2 linked regions of the Tribolium castaneum genome follow. The main gene of each other region encodes a partner of the protein of the gene in region 2 in a complex. Links are inferred from orthologs where the notes say so. Each region holds a gene or a part of one and is shown on either strand. Other genes may lie near its edges.

Region 1 (4,578 bases), on a different chromosome or scaffold from region 2:
GCGCTTTTTTGATACCATCAATAACCCCCTGCCACCGAAAAACGTAGTGTCAAAGAACGGCAAGATAACCATCTGCCACGGCAAAATAAAAAAACGCGTAATATTCCGCGATACTTTATCTATAGAGTCTCGTGCGTGCGTGACCTCACCAACTGGCCTCAACATCAGTTTGATAATCGCATGCCGCAGATGTCATCAGCATCTAGTACGTGTAAACAAAAGACGGAGCGAGAGTGTCCTTGTCAGCTGTCATTCGCTCGGATTGCAGGGCGATCAGGGCTGTCCAAGTTGTGCGCTTACAACTGCCCACCTCAGCTCTACTGTACTCTACTTATACCTAAATATTTTTATATGTATGTTTTTGTTTGTTTTTATTTTTGCTTTCTCTAAATTTCTCAAATTTTGTGTCATTGTCCCCTTGTTTCGCATTGTGCATCCGATGGGATACGAAAACGCAGCGTCGTTCTTTGTGTCTGCATGTCTGGGGGGGGCACGAGAGAATGGAAAAAACACGCGCTCGGCGGCGAAAAATAAAAAAAAATAAATAATAAAAAGACGAGATACCGTCGGGACTGAAAACATACCTCGTTCGCCTTGTGGCCGAGAGAAGTCTCTCTTATTTCCTTTTGGAATAGCTCCGTCTAAGTCCTGAAACCGTCGCGGTTTCAGGCGTTTCCGGCGAACGACACAGAGAACGACCACGAACAATCGCTTTTAATTCCGAATATTGTTCATTGTTTCGAGGACGGCACTGGAAAACAATCGAGGAGAGATGGACACGTCCTCCCCGAGGGGACGTGCGTATGGGAAAATTGATTGCGATTAAAACATGGGGAAAAGAGCGAATACGGTGAAACTAAAACTCCGACTCGATTGTTTCCAGTGATTGAGTTGGAAATTGCGGAAAAATTCTGAATGAGGATGCAGTTTTTCAACGGGGTGGGTGTGGGCACCAAGCCGGAAAATAATTGTTTTCATGAAAGAAGGAAACGAGATTTGATCGTAGAGTTAAAACAGAAATGATTAAAAATTTGTACTTACGACAACGAAGGGAAACAAATCGCCCGGTATAAATTGTTCAAAAAATAACACGAGTTCATTTACATGCATTTTTCTATTGACTTTATCGAGGAAATTATCATATCACATTACGGTACAGTTACACCGATTAGATAAGATCACTGCCCTCTAGACTTGTAATTTTATCAATAACAGGCGTTCCGTAATTGAATAAGTCATCAACTTTACGTTATAAGTGAAATGTTCATTAAACACATCGTTTTCAATTCGAAATCACTTTTCTCCTTTACCAAAAACACGGTCCACGCGTCATTACTGTTTTTTTCACAAACTGCACAAATTTTAGTTCGGTTCAATGTCCCTCGAAATTTCCGACGTTGCTTGACCTTTCTGGCTATCCGAAAAATTTCCAGTCACCTGTCGAGTCGCAAATACCCAAGTCAAAATTAGCATTCTTAAACCCAATTTGTCGAAAATTCTTGCCCAAACGGACCCAAAACCTTCCCAGAAGAAGAGCTCATCAACTTAACTTTCGGCCATAAAACACCCATAAACTTTTACAGCTGATCCCTCCATTATCCAAGGGTCGACTTATTTAAACAAATTACCTCCAGCCGTCTGATCCCTAGACCCGAAATAAACCCAAGAACCGTCCCCGAAGTCCTAGATAAAATTTCAGGATGAGTCATCGACCCACATGCCATACCCACAGAATCTGATTCATTTGGTCCAAAAGTAAACACGAACACGCAAATTTCTTGGCAAAAAGAACGCAAACGTCTTCTGCGCGGTTTAAACCGAGTCCGTTAACTTCCATGAACCCCAGAAATTACAACCAGACCGCATCATGCAATCGGTTTTATTTTTTCAAGTTTGTGCTGACCGCAAACGTAACTCATTATTCTGAGAAGTTTGATAATGATAATCGCCACACGGTGACGTTCGTTGGCTTTCCCAAAAAACTTTAAACGGAGAACGAATAAAAGCCAAATAAAAAGCACATTTAGACCCATCTCACGTTCGTAAATAGAGCCGTTGGGACCGATTCCCATTAAATTCCTTCTGTTCCCATTCATCGTATGTTTACCATAAAATATGTGAAAGTCGCGACCCTGGGAAGCCGAAAGCTACCTACAAAAGAACGCTGATCTCTTTTGTGTTTTTCTCTTGTCTACGGAGGAACGGTCCCATCTCCGGCACAAAACGTACCCAGGAACCGTACCATTGTGGGGCGCAAAGAATGGTGGGTGTCTCGATATATTCACAAAAATGGAAAATACAAAGAAAATAAATAAATAAAAAGACTCCTCCAAATGTATCATTATTTTTTCAAAAGAAAATTTTATCAACTTGTCCGAGTTTTGCCAGTTGTTTGTCGCATTTTGCGCGAAGCCTTGAGCACACCATAAGATTTAAATAATAATATATCTGTGTAGAAATCTGTTTACAGATCTTTTGTTTAAAAGAAAAGTGCTTTATTGCATTATTAAAAGCAGGTCACTATCTCTCAGCCTTGGCACTTTTTTGACACATCCACACCCCGAACCCGTGATTTTTCGTCCACTTGCCGGAAACCACCCTTTCGAAAAAACACCACCGACGAAATCGATCTCGCCGTCGCCGAAATCAGGGCGTCGCGACGCCCTCCTCGTCTACTCGACATATTTTATGAATTACCTTGTTTCCATATTAAAGGGGTGTGATGATGGTTGAAAAATAGCGACACTATTCCAAAATCCGACATACGGAGTCACAGATTGCGCTTGTCCTATTGTCAAAAAACACTGATGTTGGTTCCACACTAAACGTCCGAGTATCTTATTGTGAGCGGATTGTACACTAAACACACGGTTATTAGGCAGCCAACAGAGTCCGAGCAGGGGAGAAGTTATCATGTCCGCTGCTCGCCAACACTGAAGTCTAACCTTGGCAAGAAACGGTCCGAAGCCGCACCGGGAGCCCCATTGGTTCGAAGAGGGAGGCGCGGACCCTCTGAGCCAATAGAACGCCGGATTTCGGAGCGCCAAGGTTCGAATTCGGAGCGCCGGGCGCACCCCATATCCGACAAACTTATATTTCTGCAGAATTGACGAAACTCAAAAATATGCTTTCAATAAAACAACCAAAAGTTCGAGCATTTGTACGTTTAGGTGCCGCAAAAGGTCACACTTGAATGGAACCATTTTTTCCAAATTTGGAAGCCGGATGAGAAAAAACGAAAAATGTGTGAAATTCGAGAGGTGGTTTTGGGCATGGCGATAGAGAATGGCCAAGTTCAAGGTCTACACCTTGGTTGAGGTTTTTAGTTTTTGTGTGAGTAGGTGCAGGAATTAAAAACCGACTTTGTTTATTTGGCAACGTTTCGGACGTTTTATTGCCGACTTTTTACGTCGAAAATATGAAAAGTTGTTCAATGTAAACAGAAACTATTTACTTGTTGTGTTTGTTTTTGAATCGGTGTTAATTTTTTCTTTCCGCGTCACCAAACATTTTTATTTTTCTATAAATACATGATTTTTACGACAGGTGTGTGAGATTCTTCCTGTTCCCTGTAAAACCGCAGGGTTTCTTCGTTTCCTGAATTCCCACAGTCTCGTTATGCTTTTTAATTTTCTTCGTCTATACCTTTCCATTTGCCTTCCGGACAACTGGATCAAAAAACTGCGAATTATCCTTTCTCCACTGTAATCTCTTGAATTTTCCTTTCCCTACGTATCCGTTTTTATTTGCTAGTTTTGTTGATGTTTACAACCCATCTATTTACCTTTTTTCTTGTCAATTGACGTCGAAGCCGAGATAATGGTTATGAATGACATCAGAGATTAAAGTTTTTGTTTACCAGCAATCAAACAGAATGAATTGACAATAGCACAAGTCGAGGCCATTAAACTATCAAAAAATTCAATTTTACTGGTCGTTTTCTTCGAACATCCTGTACTTCGCTAATCTTAATCTAATTACGAGTAAAACTACCTCGCCACAGCCACGCGAATAATTTCCTCGGCAAAACCTGCGTCCGGATGTCAGCAGGACGACTCGTTATGATAATTTTAAACCTTACGGAATTATCTGTTACGTCCGACTGGAAGCAAAATTAACGTATAAACTCCCAAGTTGATTCGATAAAATTTTCACGAAACGATTACAGTTTTGGTTAGTGAAAACGAAAATTGTGGCAGTAAAATCCGTCTGGAGTTGTAAACCCCTTTCGTCTACGGCCAATAAACTAAGAATAAAAGAAGAAAAATATAATCTTCGCGCAGCAAAGTCCTAATAATAAAAACATAAAAAACAGATTTTCGGCGGAATGAATAAAATATTACGGCCGAGTGAAAAAAGCTCCCCCAGTTTAAGAACCGCTAGATTTTTTATTTGCCTCGTAAAACATCGGAATTCGGACAAATTTGACCGAAACCACGAGACTTTTCGCCGAAAATAACCACAAATAAAATCTTTGCAGGAATTAAACTGGAAATATGCATGCACGCTTGGGGGCCAATATTAAACATAAAACGGTAAAAAAATGTAAATTTAAGTCAAATGTCAAGTCTCGTCGCT
Region 2 (4,328 bases):
TTGGCATCCAAGTCTCAGATCAGCAGATCAAGAAAACGGATTCAGTACTAAATAAAAAATGTGCACTTTTGTGGGAAATTGATTTCTATTCATTTTGCTTTTTGTTTGGTACTGCTCCGTAGTCTATTTTTGAAATATGTATAAAAGTATGAACACATCATTTTGACAGTTCTCGGGGGCCGCCTTAAACATGGTAGTAGCATTTTTCTGTAGGGGTGTTTTTCGTGAAATGGTGTGGGTCCGTTGAGCTTTATTGAGGGTAATATGGATCGTTTCGTCTATAGGGATATACTTCAAGAATGGGAAATGCCCCTTCGTTTTATCTTTCAACAAGATAACAACCACAAACACACTTCCGCATTTGTCAGTGATTTCAAAATAATATTCAAGTTTTGTAATGGCTTGTCCAGTCACCAGACCTAAATCCAATTGAGAACTTATGAGAAGAGGTAGGGCGTCGAATCCGAATACAAAGATTTCCCAACAAACAATCTTTAATAGATAAAATCAAGGAAGTGTGGTCAAATCTGGCTGAGTATGTTATTCATAAACTAATTTCTTCAATGCCCAGACGGTGCCAAAAAATTATACTTAATAACGGCTATGTCATAAATTATTGACTTTTTACGTAAACTTTAGTGTAGTGTAGTGTTACGTATGTCGTAGGCTAGTAAAATCAGGCGTATTATAAAAAGCCTAGTTATATTATAAACACCTGGGCAAATTAAAAATGAATGAATAAATGCAGGGAATAAATCATGGTGCCTACTTAGAAAATGACTGATGACATTTAGTCGTTTTGTAAAAGAACGGAAGAAATTATCAAACATTTTATAAAATTCCACCTTCTATTGTAGTTAGGTAGTTTAATAAATAAAACAATAGTAAAATTGCACCACAAATTTAAATTTATTTGTCGACAAAAATCCATTTATATCTCAAGAACAGTAAACATTCTGACAAGACAAGTTGTTTTTTTCACTTATTTTGAGTTCTACTATCACTGCTATCAGGCTACCACCCTCTGAAATACCAGCTTCACAAATATCAATTCATCTTGTAGTGTTTTGATTTTAAGGTTATTTTTTTTCTATACTAATTAGTTATCACAGGATTTTTTTTGTATTTCTTCATAATACAACCCTTTATTAATGAAGGTATTGCTTTCTGTGTCTTCCAGCATTTTAAAACGATAATTTATAATATAAATTTAATGTTCAAAGCATAAATTTCAATAGTACTAACTTGTGCATTATAATACGCCTAAATAATTTAGGTTCGTTTTAGTCGTACTGTTAAAGAACCATTGGTATTTTACAATAAGACGAAAACTGGTTAGGCGTTTTATAATATGCCTAAAATTTTCAGTCGCATTATAAAAACCGACATTTATTCATTCTGTACAATTTGCCCAGTCGTTTACAATAAGACTAGGCTTTTCATAATACGCCTAATTTTACTATTAGCCTACGACATATGCATGTAGAATCAAATAAAATTTGATTTTAAAATATTTTTTAATAATGTTTAAAATCGGGCTTTTTTATATTTTAAGCTTGTAGTATCTCATAATAATTACCCATAGCATAGGCTATCTATTCTCACACCGATTAGACTATCCTTAACATTTAATGTAAAATAAATTAAAATTCACACTCTTAAAATTCAAAATACCATTGATTGTATATTTTTCAAAATGTTTCCTTACTTTTGTCCGATAGTGTAGTTGTCAAATTACTGTTTCATTAGTGGTCATAAATTGCTCTTTTCAGCAACAAATTATGTTCTATCAAGAAACGGAATGAGTGTGATGAACAAACTAGAGAAAACTACCCTTTTTTTCAAAATTCGTAAACGAGTTTGAATCAGAATATGTATGCCTCGTAAAAATGCGTGAAACACCTGTATAAAAACAAAACCTTCAAGGAAATACCTTGACTTCAATTTCGTCCAACTTCATAAAATTGACTCCTGTTGTTATTCCACTGGTAAACAAGTCCTCAACATTTTCGACTTCAGGTGGAATATAAAATTCCCTCTTCTTCTCTTCACCCCCGCCATCTCCACGATCGCCATCGCGCCCCCCTCCTCGGCCTCCGCCCCGACCTCCACGTTCGCCCCTATCCCCATTTTCGAAATCATTGCGGAAGCCCCCTCGACCTCCGCCGCGGCCTCCACGGTCAAACCCGCCACGGCCACCCCCTCTCCCGCGGCCGCCGCGGCCCCCTCGGCCTCTGCCCCCGCCCGAATCGTCGTTGTTTTCCCAAGAAAATCCACCGCCACCCCCGGAATCACCCCACTCGTTACCACCATCATCTCGCTTTCGCCCGTTTGTGTAGCCTACGCGAAAATGAGGTTATGTCTTTTTGGAAAAAAAATTAAACAAGTACCTACCGTTATCGTTACTGCTGTCCCCCCATGAATCGAACGAGGGGCCGTCGTTTCGCTCAGCTGGAACAAAGCCACGACCTGAAGAGAACTTGCAACCCCCTTCGGAGATCACGCCACCCCTCTGCTCAGAAAACTATTACAAAAGCAATTAAAAATTTTTCGATCAATTTTGATAAATATCATTACCGCAGGGGCTGAACTCGTCGGCGTATCCCAATCATCGTCGTCGCACATTTTTCGAACAAACTGAACTGCAACAATGAAAAATGCACTTCAGGAACAAAGCACAAAAAAAACCTGAATAAGCACAAAAAATAAACGAATAGTTTGATGTAGTTTGCTTTTATTTACCAAAAAATAAAAGTAATGTGCTTTAAATCAACGAAACTAATTGAGTAAATTGTTACCTGTGATCGAAATAAAGGTCGAAAGAAATTTAAGTATCTTGACACTCTTGCAACTGCAAGTTTTTCAACAAGCATGGACTCGCTAGACGTCTGGTGGCCTTGGAATTTTGCCGGTAAAATATGACAATATAAGAAAACAAAAGTTACTAAACATTTAAATTTATCCGGACTGCATTGTTATTTTTTTCTTTCCTTTGAAGTAGGAGTCTAATTTTACCAAAAACTCATTTATTATTAATTTTATTCTTTCTATCATGCGTTCAACTGTTTATTTTCAACTGTTCAATTAATTTATTTGCCCACAGAAAATTCATAGCCAAACGTATTTTTGTAAGGGTAGTGATAAAGCGATCAATATTCAATTAAATTTTGATCAATATAAAATTATAACTGGTCGGTACTTAATACATTTTTGCACAGGAAAAAAACTAGACGTGATCAGTATAATACATACTGAATCAAAAGTTACACACAAAATTCATATCTTTATTATTGGCAAGGACGTTATATAGCCTCCTTCAAGAAAATCATCGGACAGGCCAAATTAATTATGTAAAAGTTACATTTTAACTTCATAGTGACATTTATGACGTCATTCGTTTTTCAGTTGTGACGTCATTCATAATTTTTTAAATGACAACATCGATTTTTTTGTTTATTGTTTTAAAAAATGCAATTTAAAAAAGTAAAATAGAAAAAATCTTGGCAATTAAACATAAAAAGCTTTATCCTTTTGTCCTTGACTTATTTTATAAACGGCAATTGTTTTTTATAAATATATTTTTTTGAATAATCAGCAGAACAAAAAAATAAAGCTATTTGTACAAGATGTCCCTTTTTTGAGCTCCACCAAGGGGATCTGAATTATTATAAGAGATACGAGGTCAGTTGCATTTTCATGCTGAACAATTACCTAAAATACAATTATATTTTATGTCATTTTGAATTATAAAATTTTAAAATTTTTGTTCTTATTTTTTAAGCGAAAACCAAATGTATTAGACGTTTTTAACTAGGACATTCTTGAGGTATTTTTTACAAGGAATCTACATCTGTCATCGTATTTTACAAGACGTTCTTGATGTTGAAGTGGTTTACAAAAAATTTAATAATAAATGGAGAATGGCAAGATAAATCGATTAGGCAAAATTTATGTAAATCAAAAATGTATAGTATTCCAAAAAAGTCATTCTGAAATTAAAGTCCTAAATTTTGAGAACCGCTGAACTAGAATTATAAAAATTAACGTAAATTTTAATATTATTGACAAAACAGTAGAAGTAAATCAACGTTATTTTTCTATTTCAATTTGCGTTTTGTTGTTAAATTTTACTAAAAACAAAAACAAAAATTGATTTCGTCAGGACCAGGATTCGAACCTCCCACACAAATGAATAAATTAGCCACAATTTTGTAAAATTTTCAAAACGCCCATGCGCCACCATCTCCATTTTGTTTAATAAAAAAAATTAACCGCTTTCTGAAGAAAGTACGCACTTTTTGTAAAAATGGTTTAAGAGTTTTTAACTC

Evidence for each region.
Region 1: the proteins of Vasa (region 2) and gus are in contact, whole or in part, in a crystal structure (PDB 2IHS), measured with the Drosophila melanogaster proteins. The link is inferred for Tribolium castaneum from reciprocal best matches to the Drosophila melanogaster genes vas and gus. Residues at the interface, in NP_001260458.1 of Drosophila melanogaster: Asp184, Ile185, Asn186, Asn187, Asn188, Asn189, Asn190, Val192, Glu193, Asp194, Val195, Glu196; in NP_001246140.1 of Drosophila melanogaster: Ser64, Leu65, Asn66, Arg79, His80, Pro81, Val82, Ala83, Ser85, Asp87, Gly112, Thr113, His127, Tyr131, Val218, Trp219, Gly220, His221.

Annotation. Positions count from the first base shown.
Region 1 is NC_087399.1:5,778,131-5,782,708, reverse strand, and holds the start of gus (protein gustavus), read right to left. Parts: upstream 2,947-4,578; 5' UTR 2,916-2,946; coding exon 2,698-2,915; intron 1-2,697. UniProt on the Drosophila melanogaster protein: Involved in the localization of vas to the posterior pole of the oocyte. Required maternally in the germ line for efficient primordial germ cell formation.
Region 2 is NC_087396.1:9,643,291-9,647,618, reverse strand, and holds the start of Vasa (vasa RNA helicase), read right to left. Parts: upstream 2,880-4,328; 5' UTR 2,799-2,879; intron 2,643-2,798; 5' UTR 2,626-2,642; coding exon 2,578-2,625; intron 2,525-2,577; coding exon 2,395-2,524; intron 2,341-2,394; coding exon 1,934-2,340; intron 1-1,933. UniProt on the Drosophila melanogaster protein: Involved in translational control mechanisms operating in early stages of oogenesis.